Pelodiscus sinensis: one gene and its partner. The protein of the gene in region 2 purifies or fractionates together with the protein of the main gene of each other region. This does not show direct contact. Links are inferred from orthologs where the notes say so. Each region holds a gene or a part of one and is shown on either strand. Other genes may lie near its edges.

What was found. The genes of interacting proteins can lie anywhere in the genome.
Region 1: the proteins of LARP7 (region 2) and HNRNPA1 purify together in Homo sapiens (affinity purification with mass spectrometry; 4 studies listed by BioGRID). This does not show direct contact. The link is inferred for Pelodiscus sinensis from reciprocal best matches to the Homo sapiens genes LARP7 and HNRNPA1.

The regions. Positions count from the first base shown.
Region 1 is NC_134729.1:1,218,263-1,225,254, forward strand, and holds the start of HNRNPA1 (heterogeneous nuclear ribonucleoprotein A1), read left to right. Parts: upstream 1-3,956; 5' UTR 3,957-4,004; coding exon 4,005-4,088; intron 4,089-4,700; coding exon 4,701-4,817; intron 4,818-5,289; coding exon 5,290-5,436; intron 5,437-6,207; coding exon 6,208-6,418; intron 6,419-6,534; coding exon 6,535-6,627; intron 6,628-6,724; coding exon 6,725-6,823; intron 6,824-6,992. UniProt on the Homo sapiens protein: Involved in the packaging of pre-mRNA into hnRNP particles, transport of poly(A) mRNA from the nucleus to the cytoplasm and modulation of splice site selection.
Region 2 is NC_134715.1:31,430,699-31,438,331, forward strand, and holds the start of LARP7 (la-related protein 7), read left to right. Parts: upstream 1-4,601; 5' UTR 4,602-4,737; exon of another isoform or gene 4,738-4,865; intron 4,866-7,633. Other genes in the region: 5'-3' DNA helicase ZGRF1, read right to left, coding at 221-277, 404-484, 598-618. UniProt on the Homo sapiens protein: RNA-binding protein that specifically binds distinct small nuclear RNA (snRNAs) and regulates their processing and function.

The DNA of each region.
Region 1 (6,992 bases), on a different chromosome or scaffold from region 2:
AAGGCAGGTTTATTCTGGAATAAGTGCATCCAGACAGGGAGTTAAAATCAGGAGTAGTGAACCCATAGTAAACTGCAGTGATCTTGTAGTCATATTGGTCCCAGGATACCAAACAAGCAAGATGGGTGAGGCAGTATCTTTTATTGGATTAACTTCAGCTGATGAAAGACAACTGTTCAAGTATATGCAGAGCTCTTCTTCAGTTCTGGGAAAGGCATTCGGAGTGTTACAGCTAAATACAAGTGTAGAACAGGTAAGGAGTAAACATGTATTGCAAGCGGCCACTCAGGATACATCCACACTGCAGAGCTATTTCGGGATACCGGAAGTATCCCAAAATAGCTATTCCATGTCTATTGAAGCAGCCCGTTATTTCGAAATCAATTTTGAAATCACAGGCCGCTTATTCCGACGTCCTGGTAACCCTTGTTCCATGAGGGTTATGGGGCATTTTGGAATAGTGAGTTATTTTGAAATACACTCAAAATAAGCTATGCAATTTGCGTAGCGCAATTTGTGTAGCTAATTCTGAGTGAAGAGTGCTGTATAGACACACCCGCAGAGAGAAGTGAGCAACTAACTCTACTACAGTCACAGGACAAAGAAGAAACAGTGGGTTACAGATAGTTATGAGCCACTATAACTTCACATCCTGTCTTATTCCAGATTAATTTTCCCATGTGCAGACAAACCCCAGAGCCTGCTGTAGCTGCCCCACCCGTCCTACAGACGGGATGGTCCCTCATAATGACATTAGCCCACAAGGTCCAGGATGGGTCTGAAGGATAACTTGGGGGAGGGGGAGAGGAGGAGGGCTGGCTCTGGGCAGTAGCAAAGGTTGGCATCCCTATCCCACTCACAGGCAGCCTGCTCCACTCTGCCGCCATCTCCCAGTTAGCTCGCTCCACTTCACTGCAGCAGCAGGAAGTGGAGTGACTCTGGTTCCACTTCGCTGCAACAGCAGGAAATGGAGTGACTCAGCTAGGAGATGGGTAGCAGGGCAGAAGAGAAAATGCTGCTGGGTACACAGTGGGGGGGGGGGGGGGGGGACTTGACCCTTGCTGCTGCCCTATGCCAAACCCCCTGTAATCTCACAGATAGCATCACCTGGAGGCAGGGGCTTTGGGAAAGGGTTGCATTGGAGGCAAGGCAGGGACAGGGCTTGGGGAAGGGGTGGAGTAGGGGCCGGGCGGGGCAAAATGGGTTGCAGAGCAGAGTACAGTTTGTGGCCCCCCAATCAGGCAGCCATGGATGGGCAGTTACAGAGGATGGTGAAGGTAGAGAAAGGAATGAGGGTTGTTTGAGGGGAGAAAGGGCTGCCTGAGAGCTATAGATCTTTGTGTGGGAAGATGAGGAGGGCTAAAGGGGGGGGGATGTTTTCAGGGGACAGGGCAGTAGAGCTGGGGGATTGTTTGCAGGACATGGGTGGGGGGAGATAGGGGAATTGCAGGGAATCTTGGGGAGGAAGTTGAAGGAGATCCCAGGGGGGTAGTGACAAGCATAAGAGGGTGCGTGGCAGAAGATTGGGGGGAGGATATAAGATCTGTGGTGGGCAGCTGGTGGGGTGAGTTGCAGAGGATTTTTCTGAGGAAGAGATTTGCAGGGGATCCAAGAGATGGACACAGAGGATGCAGGGCATTGGAGGGAGTGCATGAGGGGAGGTTTGCAGGAGACTGGGATTAGCAGGAATTGTGGTTAGTGGGATTTATAGATATCCAGGAGGGACTGAGCAGTAGGGAACAAGATGTTGCAGAGAACCAGCTGGCTTTTAGCTCAAGCTGCTGACACACTAATCCAGAGGTCCCAGGTTCGGTTCTCACTAAAACAGCAGGCAAGTGGGGATAGGGAGAACCCCAGATGAAGGGCTGTTGACAGAGAAATGGAGGGGATCTCAGGGAAAAACAGCAGGGGAAGGGTTGAGGGGGAGCACAGGGACTATTGCAGGGAACAGAGGGGCTGAAGGACAGGACAGGGCAGGGCAGCTAGTACAAGGGGTAGGAGCAGCATGAGAAGCTCGTGGGGAGTCAGCGAGGGGGGCTGCAGGAGCAGTGAGGGGCTGACAAGGATCTGGGTGGGAAAGGGAGGAGGAGGGGCGGGGGGAGAGGGCAGCACAGGAGATGTGGCAGAGACAGAGCTGAGAAGTTTCCAGGACAAGGGAGCGCAGGAATGCGGGGCGGGAGCAGAACGAAGGATTTACAGCGGGACTGCGGGAGGCCGGGGGGGAGGCGCAGAGAGGGGATGGGGGGCACAACACGGGGGGGTTGTAGCACGGGGGCGGGGGGGGCACAGGCCGAGGAAAGGGCAGGGTGGGGGGGGCAAGGCAGAGGCACGGGGGGGAGGCAGCGGGGGGCGGGGCGATGGGGGGGCACCGCCCGCGGGGGGGGCAGGGCGGGGGATGGGGAGCGGGGGGGGCAGAGGCCGAGGGGGACGCGAGGGGGCGGGGCTCGGCTCCCCCAGCCCAGACTCGGGGGCGCGCCCCGTGTCCCAGCCGCCTCCCCCCCCCAGCCCAGAGCGGGGCGCCGATTGTCCCGCCCATCGGGAGGAAACAACCCGACACCGCGCGCCCTTTGGCCCGCCGCGCCATCAATCAACCGGGAAGGCCCCGCCCTTTCCCCCCAGGCGGCGCCCCATTGGCGCAGCCGGCTGCCACTCCCAACTCCCGCGCGACGGGCACCAGCACCCCCCACTGCCCGTCACGCGCCTCTGCCCCGCCCCCGCCCCTCCATTGGCCGGCCGAGCTGTCCGTCAGTGGCCGCGGGCCCGCCCCCTAACCCCTTTCATTCCGCACAATGAGCCCGTCTCCCCCTCCGCCCCGAGCCCAGCAGCCCGATGTCCCGGCTCAGCCGCCCCGCCGCCGCCCGGGTACCTGGGGACGAAGCGGGTCCGGCGCGGACTCCCCCCTCTCGCAGGCCCTCAGAGCCGAGGCCGCTTCTGCGCAACGCTCGCCGCCCGCCAAAATAGCCCCCCTAGCGCGCAGGCGCCTGGCTCCCCGCACGGCGCATGCGCGGCCCGTCCTCTCCCTCCCCCCGCCTCTTCGGGCGCTTGCTCCGGGTTCCGCTAGCGCATGCGCAGACGAGCACCTGTGGGCTTTAGTCCCTTTTTCCCGCAGGCTGCCAGGCAGGAGCCCGGCTCCGCACGTTCCACAGAGGCAAAGCGCGCGGGCTGGTGCTAGGGAGAAAAAGCCGCTCGCCCCCCGCCTCAATGGGAGCCGCCTCCGCCCCCACCCGAGTGATTGACACTGCCGCCATCCAGTCAAGTCCCACGTCTAGCGGCAGCAGCCAATCACTGCGCAGATTAGAGCGGGACTGTCCATGAGCGAACCAATCAGAGGCGAGCTACAGCCTCTCGCCAGTAACGCGGGAAAAGGTTGGGGGAGGGAGGAAGGGAGGGAAGGCACGCACGGCCACGTGATGCGTCAATAGGCGGGGCTTACGCAGGCTTAGCCAGTAGGCTGTAGCAGTGGGTGGGTCACGGATCTCCTCCGCCAATGAGATGTGTCGGCCTCTCGTGGCTATCCAATCGGAGGCGGGGAGGGGGTGTGCCCCGACCGCCGCCTCCAATGGGAGCGCGCGGCGGGCGGGGCTCTAAGAGGGGGCGGTGGAGTGAGGCGTCGACGCTCTCGTCATTCAGCCCTTTCTGTATCGGCGCCTCGCGGAGGAAGCATCGCACGCGCAGCACTTCTGAGGCGGAGGCCCGCGCCCGCCCGCCCCCGCCATGTCCAAGTCCGAGGTGAGCCCGGCTCCGGCCGCCATTTTCTCCGCTCCCCGCCGCCGGCGCGGCCTCCCCTGGGCCCTGCTGGGGCGCGGACCTCGCCGCGTTCGGCCGCGCCTTACGCCTTTCAGGCCTGCTCGGGCTTCCGTCCAGCCCGCGGAGGCTCCCCCCCCTTCTGCGCCTGCGCCGCCTCAGCCTTCGCGCCTGCGCTTTACCCCCCTTCCCAGGTGGGCGGCCCTTCGGCGCCTGTGTGGTGGGGATATGGGGGGGGGGAGTGAGCCTCCCGCGCTCCCATGTGCGCGTGCGCGCCCGCCTTTGTGCAGAGCCGGAGGAGCGCCATGGCGGCCGGGCGAGCGCGTGGCGGGCCTCGCGTGCGCGTGCGTGGCGGCTCCCGCGCGCCAGGGCTGCAAGCCCTCTAGGGGGGAGGGGGGGTTGGTGTGCACGGGGGGGGCCCTCTGCGGGGGGAGGGGGAGGGGGGGTTGGTGTGCACGGGGGGGGCCCTCTGCGGGGGGAGGGGGAGGGGGGGTTGGTGTGCACGGGGGGGGCCCTCTGCGGGGGGAGGGGGAGGGGGGGGTTGGTGTGCACGGGGGGGGCCCTCTGCGGGGGGAGGGGGAGGGGGGGTTGGTGTGCACGGGGGGGGCCCTCTGCGGGGGGAGGGGTTGGTGTGCACGGGGGGGGCCCTCTGCGGGGGGAGGGGTTGGTGTGCACGGGGGGGGCCCTCTGCGGGGGGAGGGGGAGGGGGGGTTGGTGTGCAGGGGGGGGCCCTCTGCGGGGGGAGGGGGGTGGGGGGGTTGGTGTGCAGGGGGGGGCCCTCTGCGGGGGGAGGGGGTGGGGGGGTTGGTGTGCACGGGGGGGCCCTCTGGGGGGGGGAGGGTAGCCTGTAAGTCATTGTGCAATCTCTTGCTCTGGGCATCTCCTGGGGAGGGGGGAGCAGGGGACGGGCCCTGTTGGCTGCTCCTTCCTGACTCGTTTTTGTGCCTCTTCCCCAGTCCCCCAAGGAACCTGAGCAGCTGCGCAAGCTCTTCATCGGCGGCCTGAGCTTTGAGACCACAGACGAGAGCCTGCGGGGCCACTTCGAGCAATGGGGCACGCTGACAGACTGCGTGGTGAGTGCCTGGCCCAGAGCATCCTCTGGGTGTTAGATAATAACATTCAGATGTGGGGGAAGGACTCTGATTGCATGGCCCGGCTGCCTTTTTTTTTTTTTTTTTTTTTTTTTTGATGCCACGGGAAGAGCTGAATAATTTGTTTTTACTGACATCTGTAAACTACTGTTCCAGGGGAGTAAGGGGTCTAACGGCAAATTTAGGGTTAGACGGAATCCTGCAGAGGAATGGCCATGCTGTCCAGTAGCCTCTGTCTTCCAAGGGTGGCTGGTATCAAATGCAGTTTTAGAGGGAATGAGCAGAACAGGGAAATTACCAAATGATCCATGAGGTCCCAGCTTTGGGCAGAGGGAAAGTTGTAGGGCAAAGCTAGTGCTAAATAACTTTAGATGTTCCTTTGTTCTCGTCTTTATGCCACCTGTTTGATTCGTGTTATTTACTGTGGTTACTAATGGAGGTGTGTCCTTTCTAGGTAATGAGAGATCCAAATACCAAGCGCTCCAGGGGCTTTGGGTTTGTTACGTACTCTACGGTTGAAGAGGTTGATGCCGCCATGAATGCTAGACCACACAAAGTTGATGGCAGAGTTGTTGAACCAAAGAGGGCTGTATCCAGAGAGGTATGAATGAATGTTTAGTCTAACCATGCTGTTTTCATAGCCTGAAATTGGCTCACTGTTAGGATGAACTGATCCAGTGGGGCTCTGTAGGGAGGAGTTGAGGTTAAAGTGACCATAGTTTGGCTATAACCCAGGGGTTAAACTGAGGTGGGTCGTTTCCATTCTCTTTGTGGTTTGGGGAAAGCAGTACCCTGCTTACATTAATCGTGCTGTCTGTAACTGCCAATGCTGCGTTTCCTTGCTGTGCTGTCTACCAGAATATGTACTTAAAGCAGGACCACATTAGTAGTTACTACAGGTTGGACCTCCCTTGTCCGGTACCATTGGGACCCGACTGATCCCAGATGAGGGATTTTTCACAGGTCATTTCTGGCCCCCTGCTGTCTCCCCCACCCCCACCCCCTCGCTTTTTTCACAGCTCAGCTGGCTCCCACACCAGCTTTTGCCCTGCCTCTTCTCTCTCTCTCTCTCTTCCCCCCCCCCCCTTCCCTCGGCCAGGCTCCTGGACCCCCCACAGTGTGCCAGGACTGGGACATCTTGGAACATCTGTGGCCCGGAAGGGTTAGGGTTAAACCATTCTGGTTTATAGAGATGCATCCTGTACAAGTAATTGTAAATGGGGACCAGTTTAATTTGTGGTGGACACGTATCACGATTTTGCATTGTCTCTGTCTTTGAGCAATGGGACTGTTGCATTTCGAACCACTGTTTATGGAGCTCTAAAATTGTACATCTCAGATAATGCTTGAGCTTGCCCTCTGTCCTGTCTAGGATTCTCAGAGGCCTGGTGCTCACCTGACAGTGAAGAAAATCTTCGTGGGGGGAATTAAGGAAGACACAGAGGAACACCACCTGCGAGACTACTTTGAACAGTACGGCAAAATCGAAGTGATTGAGATCATGACAGACCGTGGGAGCGGCAAGAAGAGGGGCTTTGCATTTGTCACCTTTGATGACCACGACTCTGTGGACAAGATTGTTAGTAAGTTCTCTGCACAGCTCTGTGAACTGTAAAGATTGTATAGCATTGGAAGGGGACCCGTCCTGGGTTTCAAATCAGGACACGGTGACAGTTAACGTCTAATTCTTCCCTTCCAGTTCAGAAGTATCACACTGTGAACGGCCACAACTGCGAAGTGAGGAAAGCCCTGTCAAAGCAAGAAATGGCCAGTGCATCATCCAGTCAACGAGGTGAGTGCCAGTTTCCCATCCATTGCTTTGGAACTCATCCAAACCGACCTTTGGCAATATGAGCCGTGCTGCTAACAGGCGCTGCTCTCTTCTTTAGGCCGCAGTGGCTCTGGGAACTTCAGTGGTGGTGGCGGCCGTGGAGGTGGATTTGGTGGCAATGACAACTTCAACCGTGGCAGCAACTTCAGTGGTCGTGGTAAGGGACTTTATGGGGTCCTTTTGATTCAAGTTCTACGGATATGGTCAGGCTAACAAAACTCCAGTTTCGGCCCCTAGGTTAACCCAAATGGCTGCTGCAGTTTTGGCTATGGATATTTTTTTAACTTGATTTGGGCACTGGACTAAGTGTAATTCTCCTTGTTTGG
Region 2 (7,633 bases):
TACTAAAATTTGCTATGTGCTGTTTTACATATAGTGACATACAAACAAACAATCTGTCACAGATTATTTTCCAACCTAAACATTTAAGGATCAGAATATTAGCAATGACAAAGCTAGACAAAACTGAAGCATAGGGAACTTTGGATCACATGAAGATAAAATATGCTGCGTCAAATTATTAGCCAAATAAGGATAAAAGCTTTACATGATTATAAAATACCTGAGATTTAACAAATACACTCTCCAAACATTGTCCTCTGTCATCAAATAAGGTTGCCTGTATTGAAATAGGAGAATTTTAAATTTAACAAATGTGTGTTAAGAAGGAACCAGTGACACAAGTAGAAGCTGAAAAAGTGGTACTATTATGCACATGATACTGAATTAAACCTGAATTCTTCACCTTATTTCCTCCAGTAGTGGTTTTCAAAACTCCATCTTGCCATACTTTCGATTTTTTAGTCTTCTGATGAGTGTATAAGACCTTATATTATAAAAAACATGTATATACTGAAATGATTTAGTAGTCATACAAGCCAAGCATATGTGAAATTTGACTATATCTTATATATAATTGTACTTAAAAATAAGACTCACAGTAAACTCCTGACAAGCCATTGCTTTGATGAAACACAGCAATCCAAAGGTTTGCAATGCATATATTCAGATCTTCATACTACTCAAAAAAAAGGGGGGGGGGCATATTTAGAATTCAACTCAGCTGCAAGGCAAGTGTGTCAAACAAAAAAGATACACATCCAGTGCTTTCCCTTAAAGAGTGGGTAAAAACAGGGTAGTGATGCTTGTGAGGGAATATTGGAGTGCTAAAGACTTGTATTCTAAACATAAACTAACAAAAGTAAAGATTAATAGCAGAAATAGCTTTTGTTTAAATATTAATATCAAGAAGAGATCTACTTTTTTAGAAACCTGAACATCTGCAACTACTATTCATTTTAATGGAAGTTGTGGCTCAAAATCATTTTTCAGATAAGTAGGTATTTTTATTTTAGCTGGCTCTTTGAAAACTATTAGCCTAATAATCTTATCAGAACATATAATCTACTACTAAAAAATTAACCAAACTTTCATGTCTCTAATGAGGCTTCATTTTGGGGTATCTAATTTTGAAACCCTCAAATCAATAATCACCCATAAAAAACTTGGCCTAAAGTAGTCAACAGTAATCAAAGCTTTATATAAACACTTCATCATTTTCAAACCTTATGACACACAAATACAGTAGAAAATTAACTGTCAAATATCATAACTTGTACTTGCATGTAAAGAGTTGCACTTAACATTGGGATCTTAATCATAATTATCAATTACTGACACTTCAATTAAAACCACAACCACAGGAACACAGCTAACACTGGCAATTGCTCTAACTTCTTGAAATTACTGGCTGACTGCATAGACAGCAACACAAGTGATAAAGAAATTGTTAAAAGCAATCACACATAAGAAAAGGCATATGAGAAGACAAAGCAGCTATTATAGGAAGATATTAGACTAGAGATTAATTAAGCAATAGTTCATGGGATTTAAGAATTCTTAGTACATTTTTAACATTTAGAATAAGTAGAGATAGGATGAAAAAAACTCATAGGATACCTTTTTGGGGATGAACTAGGAAATTATATTTGAGAAATAATACACTGATTGCGTTACTAGCAGATAAACAGATTCAATTAGCATTCTACATATGTGGTTTTTTATTCCATTGTAAATACATTTATTAAAAGAGGAAATATATTCACACTTTTTCTCATGACAGTGGCTCTCAAGCTATAATAGCTTTTTCATTAAAAATTCCAGTTTTAAAGTGTCTTGTCTTTCAACTTCTTAAATGCTACACACTCGCCACAAGGTGGCTCAGAACATTTACTTTACGTTTATTCTTCTCAGTCATGGTACTGTTTAGAAAGATGTATGGAAAGATCATGTTTCCAACTGTGCAATTCACAGATTGACCATTCTTGTAACAATACCAGAAGAGCTGTCTTCACTTCCCCTTACTTGATCTGATAATGGCTTGATTTAGCATTGTTTACAGAAAGATGGTTACTTTAGAGCAGAATAGGAATTTTCAGATAGTCTTTCTCTTTCCTAGTAATAAAATGGAACAATAAGAATGGAAATGATAGAATCTGTCAAGCAGTCCATGGGTGGGTGGCATGGATCAGCCTTTGTGTTGCACTCCCCCTCAGTACCTGATGCAATCTGGGAAAGTTAATGATTAGAGGCCTGCACAGATACAAAATAGTATCTGCATCCAATCTTCTATTCACAAACAGGGGCTGTGGATATAAGGAGACTGGCAGAGCTTTACTAATGATCCAACCACATGACCAAACTTAATGAATGAAGATGAATCCTGGTCCTCTGTCACCTGAGGCACATTGTGCATATGCTAAGAAGAGTAAACAGCTAGACCATTTTGAAGTAGACTGAATAATAGAGCCACCACTACAGATACATTGGTTTATTAATTCCTGAAAGAATATAATGGCAGCTGCTGAAAGCCTTAATGACCTAAAATAAATCAGTAAGGCAATGTCTACACTCGCAGCTTCTTGCGCAAGTATGGCCATTCTTGCGCAAGAATCCGCAGAGCAGCCATACTGCCTGCCCGCTCTTGCACAAGGAAATTTACAGTACGGTGTGGTAAGAGAGGGCTTCTTGCACAAGAGCTATGCTCTTTTTTAACAGGTGTAAGCCTTCTTGCGCAGGAGCTCTTATACAAGAGGGTATTGTGGACGCTCAGCAGGGATTTCTTATACAAGAAAGCCCTATGGCTAAAATGGCCATCAGAGCTTTCTTGCACAAGAGAGCACCCACACTGCTATGGGCACTGTTGCGCAAAAGCACAGCTTGCACATGGCAGTGTGGACATTTTCTTGCGCAAGACTTCTTGCACAAGAACCCTTGCGCAAGATGTTCTTGCACAAGAAGCCGCCAGTGTAGACATAGCCCCAGTGTGGTAATACTTAAAAATAAGACCCTACTGTATAACGTCTTTCACAGAAACTACCTCAAAATGTAACAGAAGCAAAGAAAGAGACATTGAAAGGAACACAATCACGTTTTTTCATTCAGATCTAGTATCAGAGTTTTTATGGTCCTTTCTTCATTCAGCACACTGTCAACCTGTGGAACTCCTTGCCAGAGGATGGGAAGACTAGGACTTTAACATGGTTCAAAAAAGAGCTAGGAGGTTAGGTCCATCAATGACTATTAGCCAGGATTGGTAGGAATGGTGTCCTTAGCCTCTGTTTGTCTGGAAATGGGGGACAGGAGAGGGATCATGTGAGGATTATCTTTTGTGTTCCCTCCCTCTGGTATTAGCCACTGATGGCAGACAGGATACTGCGCTAGGTGGACCTTTTGGTCTGACCCAGTATGGTGATTCTTATATTCTTATGAAAGGACTGGTACCAATATAAACTGTACTCATATATTCTGTGTAGAGTGTAAAACATTATAATTTTGCTCTCATATCACTCCCCTCATGGCAAAGGTGATTAACAGTTACTCTCTCAAACCATTTAGTAGAGAATTGTCAGAAACACTCCATGTCCAAATACTGGTCTTAGGGAAGTCTATGGGAATTTGACCACTGACTTCAATAATAGCAGAATTCACCCAATGCTGAGTGAGTGCTTTTAAAAATCCCAATGTTAAAAACCAATGGTTTTTACACATGAAAGTTGATTACTAGTGTAGCTGAAGTTGTTAACATTTCAAAGTCAGCTGGAGTGAAGCCAGCGCCAGGACTTATTTTTCTGCCTAAAAGCAAGGTTCTATAATTTTTAAATTTTCTTTTATCTACACGAGGTTTTTTTTAAGTGGAGCAGACCTGGCTACAACACATCCTACATCGGGAGCATGGTGACAGAAAGCACCAAAACCTGCAACGGAAAAGAGTTGGGCTTCTGCTCGCCCCCCCCCCCCCCCCCCCGCGCGCTGGAGCCTCATCGTTTTGGGCACTGTACAGACATGGGGCAGAGGCAGTTCCTGCTAGGGCAGTGGTTCCCAAACTTTTTGGCATCACGCCCCCCTTTTTGATTTCTGAGAAACTCCTGCCCCCCCCCCCCCCGCCCAAAAAATAGCAGCAAAACTTGGAGTGGGATTGTCGGGGGGGAGGGGCTGGGTCGCCTCGCCCCCCCGTTTGGGAGCCCATGCTAGGGAGAGCCTGGTTGCGCAATACTTTGTAACCTCTGCATTTCAAACACCAGCGAGGCCGGAGGAGGCTGGTACCGGGAGGGGAGAGTAAAAATGCTGCGGGGGGGGGGGGGGGGGGACACGGGACGGCCTGTGGCTCTGCTGTGCGATGCCCGACGTTGCGCGTCGCTGACAGCCCGCTCCTGTGGGTGCAGGCAGGGAGCCCGCAGGGCCGCTGCTCTCCTAGTCCTGCCGGGGGGGCTAAACCTCCTTCCGCCCCCCCCCCCCCGGCTCTTTCCCAAGCCGCCTGGCGCGGATGGCCGAGCCTCTCGCTCTGCAGACGCCGATGGGGGGGGGGGCAGAGCGCGGGGAGCGGACCAGCGTCACCTCCTCTCCCCTCCCCCCCCCGCGCGGCACCTCTCGAGCTCTCGGCTCCTCGCCCTGGTTTGAAGCTTTCCCGCGCCGCCAGCTACCGATGACGCTATTTTCCGGCGCCACGGCAGAGAATAGCCCCTCGCGCCGCCGGCCCGCGCTCGGAAGTGCGTCGCGCGCGGGGGGGGCGCCGATCTGGTAAGCCGGCGGCAGGGCAGGCGGGGGCTTTTCTTGCTGCGGCTGAGCGTCGCGCGCTGGCGGTGACGCTGCTGCAGCTCAGGAGAGGCGGGGGGCCCTGTAGGAGTTGGCGGCGGCGGCGGCGGCAGGTGAGAGCCCGGCTCTACGCACCGGGCGCGGGAAGGGGGGAAGCGCGGTGAACTAGGAACACTGTTAACCCTCTCCGCCCCGCCGGCAGGGGGCGCTGCGCGGGGGCTTCGCGCATGCGTCAGGCTCGTGGGCGGGGCGGGGCATTGGCGGCGCGTGGGGGCCGCGGGGGGCTCTGCGGACAGACTGAAGAGCGCTTTTGCCTAGAGCCGCGCAGTCCGGCACCCGCCGTGAACAGCGCCGCCTGCAGGGGGGGAGGGGCGTCCCCAAAGTTCTTTTGTCCCTGGGACAGGTTCAGAAAAGGGGCCGCGAGAGCGCTGAGGCCACGGGAAGAGAGAGATGAAGAAGACTGGGTGCTTGATAGGACAGAGCTCTATAAAATCATGGCGGGTGGAGAAAGTGAATTCGGGATAAAGGCATGTAATTGTTCCCATAGCCTATGAACTAGCCACCCCCAAACGAAACTAATAGCAGTTTTAAAACAAACAGAAGGAAGTAGTTCTTCATGCAGCACACAGCCAATCTGTGGAACTCCTTGCCAGAGGATGCTGTTAAGGCCAGGATTTTAACAGGGTTCAAAAAAAGAACTAGAGACATTCATGGGGGATTGGGCCATCAATGGCTATTAGCCAGGATGAGTAGGAATGATGTGCCTAGCCTCTGTCAGAAGCTGGGAGTGGGCAATAGGGGTGGGATCACTTCATTATTACCAGTTCTGTTCATTCCCTCTGTGGGCACCTGGCATGGCTAGATGGACCTTTGGCCTGAGCCAGTATGGCCGCTCTTATGTTCTTACATTCGTCACTTTTGTCCGTCAGGGCTTGAGGGAGTGACTCCAAAGTACTGTTGCTATCCCCCTCCGTCTGAGCCCTTTCCCAACAATTTGGAATGAGGCCACTGGCAGGAGGGGCAGTTTTGGGATCAGCGCACAGGTGTAGCGAAGAAGCTGCCTTCTGTCCTGCTAGGGTTGGTACTGGCTTCTCCAGCCATGTCTGCACCGCAGTAGAAACTCTGACTTTGGGACTCAGGCTTGTGCACTTGGTGAAGCATCCACGCTGTATTGTAAAGCTGGGCTTTTAGTTACTGGAGCTGGGTTAACTAGTCCAGCGTGCACTACGTAGATGTTCTGAATTGGGTCTGGCTACGGCTGCTGCCATGCTACGAAATGATAGGGTTTAGACACAGAGAGAATCAGACTCTTTCCCTCCTCCCTCCCTTGGATGGTCCCCAAGAGCTGGGTCCCAAGTGCTTGTTGTTTAATGTTAGGTAGACATGTGAGTGGATGAGAGGAGAGGTGGGCTTGAACCTGAGTCTGAGCCCAAATTTCCAATGCAATATAGCACATACTTTAAATGACTGCAATCCAAATTCTACTCCAGAGTCCCCAATTAAGTTAACCCTACTGTAATGCAAAACCAAAAATGTTATCGACTACATGATTAGTCAAGAAGGGAAGGTACTCATTCCTGGTTCATGCCGGGTCTGGGAGTTATGCCCCCCTGAAGCTCTACAGTTTCAATATAGCAAGACATTTAAACTGCACAGTCGCACGGGGAAAACAGGGAGCTCCTGGACCTGACAAAAGCCAGGACTGAGCCAAGCTTGCTCAGTCCCGGCTGCTGCCAGAGCAGCCTTTGTTAATGGCCAGCCCAGGCTGCTGTGAACAGGGGCTGATCCACAGGATGCGGAGCAGCCTTTGCCCGTGGCAAGCCTGGCCTGCCGTGGGCAGAGGCTGCTTCAAGCATCCCCCTCCTCCCACATTGCTGCTTCTGTTAGAGGCAGCAGTGCAGGAAGTGGGGGCAGGCGAGGAGATCTGGCTCCCCCCAGTTTCGGCTCCAGCTCTCCCAAAGGGGGGGAGGGGATTTGGGTAGTCAACTCGACTATCCGATAAGCTGAGGTTTACCAGGTAATCAGCTACTCGACTGCTTGCTTACATCCCTAATTCATAAGTTTTCATTATTGTTCATTTCTGTGCTTTGCTTCTTTGTACATAACACACTGCTCCATTTCAGTCTTGTATTTAAATTACTGGGGCAGCTGATGTTCATGCTAGTTGGAATTGAGCTAGAATTAGAAAATGCTCCACGCAGTAGATGCATTGATGCTGGTTTTAATGTAGTTATGTAAAAAACAAGTAGTTCTGATGACGCTAGAACAGGATATCGCTATAGCTACTTTGAGCAAGAAAATGGAAAAAATGTGTGTATTTTGGTGAGTGCCCCATTTATAAGACAATATTAGGAGTGCAAACTTTTATGATCTTTTGGGCATTTTCTATGACATTATTGTGGTTGAAACCTAAGTGACGTTTTTGTACAATTCTTTGTTTTTAAAGTACAAATCCAAGTCTGATTCACCTAATGAAAATATTTTTATGAACGTCAATTGTTTATTTGGTGTCAACATCGAGTCACTGTAAACCTAAGTAGTGAATGACTCAAAGGGAATGAGTTTCTTCTTCCAAAATAAATTTTTTAGTTTGTGAATTTTACATGTGGAGTGCCAGAAATGATAAATGTTTATGCAATAGTATGTAAATGAAAAAATGTCTGGGTCCATTCAAAAGCACCTGATGGTCTGGATTTGGCCCATGGTCTGCCTATTAACTGCCCTTGCTTGCTTTGTGGGATCACTTTTCTTCTTACCAGAGCTGTGGCTCTTCCCTGCTTCCCCGTGTGTTCATCCGCCAATACAGCTTAATATGTGCTGCTGAGCTGGCATCAACCAGTGCAGCTGAGCAGGCATGTTGAGGAAAAGTATCTTGGCCAGG